2 linked regions of the Xenopus tropicalis genome follow. The protein of the gene in region 2 interacts with the protein of the main gene of each other region in a pairwise test. Links are inferred from orthologs where the notes say so. Each region holds a gene or a part of one and is shown on either strand. Other genes may lie near its edges. The genes, in order: ankrd1 and mypn.

Region 1 (4,283 bases), about 1.7 Mb from region 2:
GTTTGCCAAGATACCAAAGGCTTTACTGAATGTTACAACCCTATCTTACAGTTACATTTATTCCTGAAGTTGTAATTTAATAACAGGAAATTCCAACATACCATATCTTTAAATTCAATATTCGCACCAGCTTCAATTAATTTCTCCACCATGTCAGTATGTCCTTCTGAGCAGGCTCGGTGCAGAGCTGTGCGCTTATACTGAAAGAGAAATGCAACGATATTATAATGGATGTTTCAGTATTGAACAGCTGCTTCAAACCTTAGGCAACATGTAAAGAAGGCTCATTTATGATTACACTTCAACTGACTTATTGTAGGAGGTTGAAAATAGATAGAATAGTTTTCTTTGGGGCAGGCTACACGAACTAAAACAAATGTGGAGCTGACACACCCACAGGAAACAATGGATCCCATGTTACCTCATTACAAGTAGTTATTAAAGTCAACAACAACATCATTTTCAGTTGTATGAAGCAGAAATAAGGGCTACCTCATCACATGTGTTTGGGTCTCCTCCATCTGCTAAGTATTTTTCAATGACTGGCATTTTATTATCCAATGCTGCTTTGAAGAATGTTGTCTGATCCACATTTTCAATCTGAGTAAAGCAAAACATTTTTGTATTAGATGTGCCTGCTCTCCTCCATAGCTTTTAGTATTAAACAGTTCCTTAACAGACTTACAATTTCTTCTGGCTCTGGTTCCTTGACAACAGGAACATGCACTTTTTTGACTCGTTTTCTTTTTTTCAGATTAATAATTGTTTGTAGATCTTCCAAATTATCCAACTTTGGCCGTTCCTCTAGTTTTTTCTTAAGGAGCTTGAGACAAAGAAATATTATATTTAATATTGGAAGTATCTTATATGTTTAAACCAGTGATCCCCAACCAGTAGCTCAGAAGCAACATGTTGCTCACCAACCCCTTGGATGTTGCTCTCAGTGCCCCCAAACCAGGGAGTTATTTTTGAATTCCTGACTTGGGGGCAAGTTTTGGTTGAATAAAAACAAGATTTACTACCAAATAAAGCCCCCTGTAAGCTGATAGGGTGCATAGAGGCTACCTAATAGCCAATCTTAGCCCTTATTTGACACCTCCATGAACTTTTATGGTGCTTGTGTTGCTCTCCAAGTCTTTTTACATTTGGCTGTGGCTCATGAGTAAGAAAGGTTGGGGATCCCTGGTTTAGACAATATCAGACTGGATGGAAGAATTCACCAAATACTAGTAGGGACAATTAAAATTTAACAAGGGTCGCTTCTCAAGTTTTTAGAAAAGTTACTTTTAGAGCAAGGACATAATCAGGGCTTTTGTGCTAAAAAATAAATTCCTAATCAGTTCAAAGTCTAGAATTATCTCCAAGGTTGTATATGTTTTGGGGGTAGACAGTCTGAGTTTCCCATTGTGATTAGTTCAATGGGTTATGTCTTAACCTGTTTTAAAGGGAAATGTTTTGGCAGTGTAACACCATATCTGCCAATGGTTTGTATAATCTCCATCACCACTGAAATAGTGATTCAGGAAGCAAATAAAACCCGTGTTGCAGAGGGCTGTAATTAAAGGTTTCTGCATTATTAACTGTGTATTAATAACTGTGCCCTTGCATTAAGAGAACTTATGTTGAATGGGAGTGTTTTATTGAGCAATGTAACCTGCTGTCTATCTCAATACCACATTTTCAAGAATGTATAGCTTATTGATTGAGATATAATTTACCGAAATGCAATTCAATGATACCACTAAAAAGGCTGTCTGTGGTTTCCCAACAAAACACACCTCTGATTTTAGCTGTTTTTCCTTTATTTGTTTCTCTTCTTCCAGCTCAATAAGGGATTTCGATGTGGTCTTCAGATCCTCCTGTTTCTCTAGAGCTACAGCTGTTTCATATTCTCCATTCTTTGAAACACCAGCTACAAAATTACTAGTCTTCTTCATTTCATTCTTTTTTTCAGGTACCTGTTTAAAAAAAAAGGGGTATCAGTGACTTGAAAGTTCCAATACATTAGCAAAGTATGATCATTAAAAACAGTTAAAGCAATATATTGGTAGAGTTGCCCACAACGAGATGGCATTCAGTCTTTGTGCTTGAATGTGTAGATTAACAGTTGCTCCTGTCATCACTCATTGTACATGAATCAATAATATATAGTCATGGGTACTGTCCATAAAGAATCAAGTTCCCCCGAAATAGGCTTCCATGAACCTTCAGTGAAGCTAAAGATCGTGTCCCTCAGATATCTGCTATGACTTCCAGCTTAAAATGCCTACAATTCACACACTCCATCTTATACTTAAGACAAACCCCTACAAAAGCCCTGACCAGTGATTTTTAAACCAAGAAACTATAGAGTAATATCCATTTACATGAAAGTATTGCATGAAAAATGGATTCCTATAAATGTGGGACTATCCTACGACAGCTGTCACAACCATTTATGATTATTCCAGAGAATGAAATCATTGCTTACAATGAATGCTGATTCATCTACATCACTAATTAAAATATTAACATGTTCCTGGAAATAAAAATTTCAAAGACGTGAAATAATAATGTAATAAAGCAGTGAGCTTCTGAAGCTGAGCTGTGCGACAGATGTTCATGTTGCATCAGCTAGCAGGAGTAACAGAGGCTGCCATTTGTTCCCAAAGAGATTGGATTCCAAGTGGAAATAATTTTGATAACTTGCATTACTGGAAGGGTGAGAACATATCGAAAACTTTCTGTCACAAGTAACAAATTACCTTTGAAATTAAACATCTACCTAATGTTTTCTTAAAAATGTTCCAAAAAAAAGTTAATGTTAATTGAAATAGGGAATGTACCAGTACAGATATTTTTTTAATTAGATACTTGTAGCTCTATACAATAGAATTAAATGGTGATAAACTTATTATATAATAAGTCCCATTACTATATGGTTAGTAAAAGGCACACACATGGTTATATTAACCTTGTTATGTAACCTATTGACTAATATTTGTTCTTTAAACTGCCAGAATGTCTTAATTAAAGAAAAAAAAATCTATAACCTACCATTTCTTCCATTTTCAGCAACATTTTTGCCAGTGAGAAGTTGAAGTATCCTTTCTGATGTTAACCTTAGGTAGACAAGTTGTTGCTCTCACAACCCCCCTCCAGGTTAGCTTTTATAGTGTGTGCGGAGAAAGGAGAATGAGGTAATATTCCAACCTGGGACAGCAACAGCTACGGACCTAGCTCACAGACAGAGATAGGTGCGTTGTCATTCCAGACATGTTAACTAGCCAGATCTTGTGTCATGTGGGGAGCTAGAAGGGGAGGGCAGCATGGGCCTTATGATAAAAAATATCCCATAGGCTAACCACATTGCATATCCCAATTGGTATGAAACATGAGCTAGCCATTCCATTGGCAATGACTGAAGAGCTCAGCAATGCTAGTCATTCTATCTGAACCAGTATGACAGCTGTGTGTTGGGCATGCACCGTATTTATCTGCTGACATTGAAATGACTAAATGATGCTGGAAGGGAGGCAGGAGCTGTGGCCATCTCTGTTAGGAAGGGTTACGGTCACTTCTGTCTGGGAATTGTATTTATTTCTTTTCATGGTCAGAATAATATCATTGGGTTTGTCGCTCGTCTGATTCAAGCAATAATTGACTAAGCAGCTGTACGCTACAATGTAGCAAACAACCAGATACCCTGAATAAAAAATGCTAAGTTCATCTTCAATACATTTAACATTTAAAAGGGGAAATTCTAGTGTTAACATTAACATTTTATGAACAAAACAAGTTTGCAATTAATTTGTAAATATATATCTATTTTAAATAGAACAGGGGTCCCCAACCTTTCTTACTCGTGAGCCACAGTCAAATATAAAAAGAATTGAAGAGCAACACAAGTATCATAAAAGTTCATGGAGGTGCCAAATAAGGGCTAAGATTGGCTATTAGGGAGCCTCTATGAACATTGGCTATTAGGGAGCCTCTATGAACATTGGCTATTAGGGAGCCTCTATGCAGGGAGTATTGCTAGAACAGGGATCCCCAACCTTTCTTACTTGTGAGCCACAGTCAAATGTAAAAAACCTTGGAGAGCAACACAAGCACCATAAAAGTTCATGGAGGTGCCAAATAAGGGCTAAGATTGGCTATTAGGTAGCCTCTATGCACCCTATCAGCTTACAGGGGGCTTTATTTGGTAGGAAATCTTGTTTTTATTCAACCAAAACTTGCCTCCAAGTCAGGAATTCAAAAATAACTACCTGGTTTGGGGGCACATGTTTTTCAGTAATTTG
Region 2 (3,829 bases):
GATATAGGGCTGTTTAGGTGTTCAGATCTATTTCAAAGAAAAACACATTTCACTGCTAGCCTATTATAAGTTATACTGTACATTCTATGTTGCTGATTGCCAGCACTGTAGAATTTGCATTTCTGGGCAACATACAACGTGGCAAGGTTAAAGGCCCCAGCAGATAAGGCATTATTGTCTTGCACAACGATCATATGAAACCAGAACTGAAAGTCAAGATTAAAGAGATCTCATTGGAGGATTTTCTTACATAAATTATTACTGACCCTGGACTGGAATTTGTAATCACATAGACAGTACTATGTCCAACTGGTTATAGTGTAATAAAGTAAATTTGGATAACAGTCAAAATTGCATAATAGAGTCCCTTTAGTAGATGCCTGCAAATTCTGATTGTAGCATCCTCTTGCATGTATAATTAAGTGTGGCCCGCCTTCTTGCCAGAGCTCAAATGAAGGTCCATTAAACCATTGTTATCATTTATATACAAAAGATCATTTTTTAATATTGATGTAATCAATGTTGTCAGTCGTCTGCACATCCAATTGTTCAACTTTTTTTAAAAACAGGTGACTAAATACAACTGCCCCCAATAATATGAAATGGAAATATAAAATAAGAATATGTACCTTACTTCAGGTGGTGGAAATCCAACCACAATACAGTCCAACTGCACTTTGCTCCCCTCAGTAACTTCCCTACTTTTTAATTTCTGAATAAAATTTGGAGGTCGCCCAACTGGCTCTTCAAAATAAAAAGAGGAAGACTGGGTATCGTTTTCAACTTGCAAAGACTCCTTTTCACATTCTGGATCCACTGCTTCCAAACTATTAGCTTCCTCAGAGATAGTAGTGTTTATTTCTGTCTTTTCTGGCGTGTAGTGAGGCCTCTCTCGATTTTCTAACTGGCAAGTGTAATTAGAGATGTCCTGCTCAAGTGTCCCACTTTTTAAGTCACGTTTGCTCCTCCGATTTTTTAATGTCTTTGGCCTAATTCGCTTGGAACTATTGGCTTTGAAAAGTGACGATAGCTCCTCAATAAAATCTGCAGCTTTATTCAAAAATTCCTTTTTTGACTCAGTTTCAGTTCCATATGGAGTGGTTCTCTGTGGCTTTTTCAAATCTTTCGTTTCCTCTGTAGAGTTTTTCAACCCTTTTATGACATGTCCCTGATAAAAATTTAACTCTTGTTCTCTGTCATTGACTGTTGGTATGCTCTGTCTGGTTACTGGTGGTCTTACAACAGGCCTAGACTGTCTTTTTAGTTCTCTCGGCGGACATTTAATATCAATCTGTACCTCTCTCTGGTTCCCATCTTGGTCAATGGCTTGTCTTGCCAAATGTACACTTTGGTCTAATTCTTCCTGGCTCAGAAAAGCAGAAAGATCAGTGAGGTCATCAGCTTCGCATAAGTCGTCTACTCTACTGGAGCAGACACTATGACGATAAGAATGAGATGAAGAGATTGATAGACTGCTCTCTTGGTGTATTCTTGTTTCAGCACTATAGTTCTCTCTCAGAATCTGAGAAATAGACGAAGAAGCTTCTATATTCTCGTCTTGCATGCTGTTGACGAAAAGACAGATAAGCTCAGTAATGTGAATATACCTGCTAGCTCTTTATGTTACACACCAGGGTTTCACCATGTTCCTCTAAATGATATTTTTCTTGTACAAGCTAACAAAAGGCATGAAATATTCTTCACTTTGTTGTTATTTTTGTTGTAAAATATGAACAAGACATTTAAGTATTTATCTGACAGAGATTCTATTTAGGCCAAAGCCACAATACTGACTAAGTGTAGCACAGTTTCTGTCTGGCTCTCGTAGTGCACCATTCATTTTAATAGGAATAAAGAATGTGCCAGTGTCTGACAAAAGCCTAATAAACTGTGAAATTCTAAGAGAAGAAAGGTAGTAAAATTAGCTATGATGTACTGCACATTCTGTGTTGTTCAAGACTACCTATGTGGATTTCAGAGGTTATGTTTGACTGTAGCATAAAGTGGATACATTTACAGCTTATCCCACAGAATCTTGGGTTTTAGACTTGTTAAAGCTGGATAAATATCATCTTAATTATGCCCAATGACATCACAGCCTTGCTCCTGATTTCAAATGTTAGTTGTCTGTCCCCCTTTCATCAGCTGCCTCCTTTGTCCAGGTTTTGTCACCGGTAAAGGTGGCAACCCTAAATCTAAGGATCTTTACATACACTTAATTAGAAGCCAGGTAACCTTCCTGTATGTTTTTGGAGTGTGGGAGGAAAACAGAGTACTCAAAAGAAACCCATGCAAGCACAAGGACAAATGCCAAGCTCCGTGCAGTGGTTGGATTAAACCAAGGACCGCAGCACTGCAAGGCAGCCCTAAATACACAGTGTTCCATAAAATCTTGCATTTAATTAATTTTCAAGATACTTAAACCAGACCATTGAACACAACATAAACAAAGAAAGAAGATGGCACACTCCCATAGCATAAAATCAATGTCACAAATGTATTCAATAAAAGTAATGCATGTCCAATCTTTAATAGTATGCATTTTGTTGTGATTCATCTTTCTCGGGGAAAAAGCTGTTTATGCTACTTTGAATACATGTTTTGATTTTTCACAAGAAATCCCGGAGTTGCTGGTCTTTTTTATACTATATATATATATATATATATATAACAGGTCAAGAATGACGGCACTCGTAGGATTTCCACAAAAAGGCAAAGAAAATAAAGATTTCTTAAATGCAAGTGGTGAGATTTATTGTGTCCATCGTTTCAGTCCTTTTACTAGGACTGAAAAGTGGTTTGTCCCTGAGGAAGAGTACAGTTAGTACTCGAAACGTTGGATTTTTTTTTGAATAAAATTTTTTCACTTTATCGTTAAGTCCTTGTGTGTGCGGCTCTCTGTTCATATATTGTCTCATTTTAGCCAGCACCCAGGGCATTTGAACTTTTATAGGGTGTGCTCCACTCTTCCTTGTATATATATATATATATATATATATATATACACATCAAACAGGAACATCTGGCACTCACGAAAAAGAAAATAAAATGCCTGGGTGCAGAGTTCAAACAAGTACACAGGGAAAAAATGGGAAGCCGCACACACAGGTCTTAGGATGATAAAGGTGATTTTTATTGCCAAAAGTGAATTAACGTTTCGGCTGTAGCACCAGCCTTTCTCAAGCTTACACCAACAAGTGAAAGAAAACCATAAATACTGTGCATGGTGGGAAATTGTCATTGTTTGATGACCTTGAGAAAGGCTGGTGCTACAGCCGAAACATTAGTTCACCTTTGCCAATAAAAATCACCTTTATCGTCCTAAGACCTGTACGTGCAGTTCCCTTTTTTCCCTTTATTCCCTATATATATATATATATATATATAAATATAATATGCCCCTGAGGAAGTCAAATAATGACTAAATGTGTTGGTCTAATATTGCCACAAGCTAAATGTATTTCTAAAGCATTTGTATTACTTTTATTGAAGAAATTTGTACCATTCATTTTATGCTATGGGAGCACACCCCTCTTCTTTCTTTGTTCATTCATGGGTCCTTGTAGACAGAGGAGTCTGCACAAAAATGTACAAAAACACTACCTTACAGAATCACTTTGGAATCTGATTTTAACTGACTGTTTTATTTATGGACATTTTTAAAGCTGGCTGTGGATGACCAATTTGATGGCTGCACCATTTACAGATTTTACTTATATACACCATAATAATAATGCCGTTAATATATTTTTTATATATGGAACACAACATGCCTTACACTTTTGTGGGTATGAACCCATACTTTTAAGGAAAAGTGCATTACATATTT

The links.
Region 1: the proteins of mypn (region 2) and ankrd1 interact in a two-hybrid assay, tested with the Homo sapiens proteins (2 studies listed by BioGRID). The link is inferred for Xenopus tropicalis from reciprocal best matches to the Homo sapiens genes MYPN and ANKRD1.

Annotation. Positions count from the first base shown.
Region 1 is NC_030683.2:36,842,627-36,846,909, forward strand, and holds the start of ankrd1 (ankyrin repeat domain-containing protein 1), read right to left. Parts: upstream 3,077-4,283; 5' UTR 3,061-3,076; coding exon 3,037-3,060; intron 1,959-3,036; coding exon 1,779-1,958; intron 824-1,778; coding exon 686-823; intron 601-685; coding exon 493-600; intron 201-492; coding exon 102-200; intron 1-101. UniProt on the Homo sapiens protein: May play an important role in endothelial cell activation. May act as a nuclear transcription factor that negatively regulates the expression of cardiac genes. Induction seems to be correlated with apoptotic cell death in hepatoma cells.
Region 2 is NC_030683.2:38,507,274-38,511,102, forward strand, and holds part of mypn (myopalladin), read right to left. Parts: intron 1,566-3,829; coding exon 630-1,565; intron 1-629. UniProt on the Homo sapiens protein: Component of the sarcomere that tethers together nebulin (skeletal muscle) and nebulette (cardiac muscle) to alpha-actinin, at the Z lines.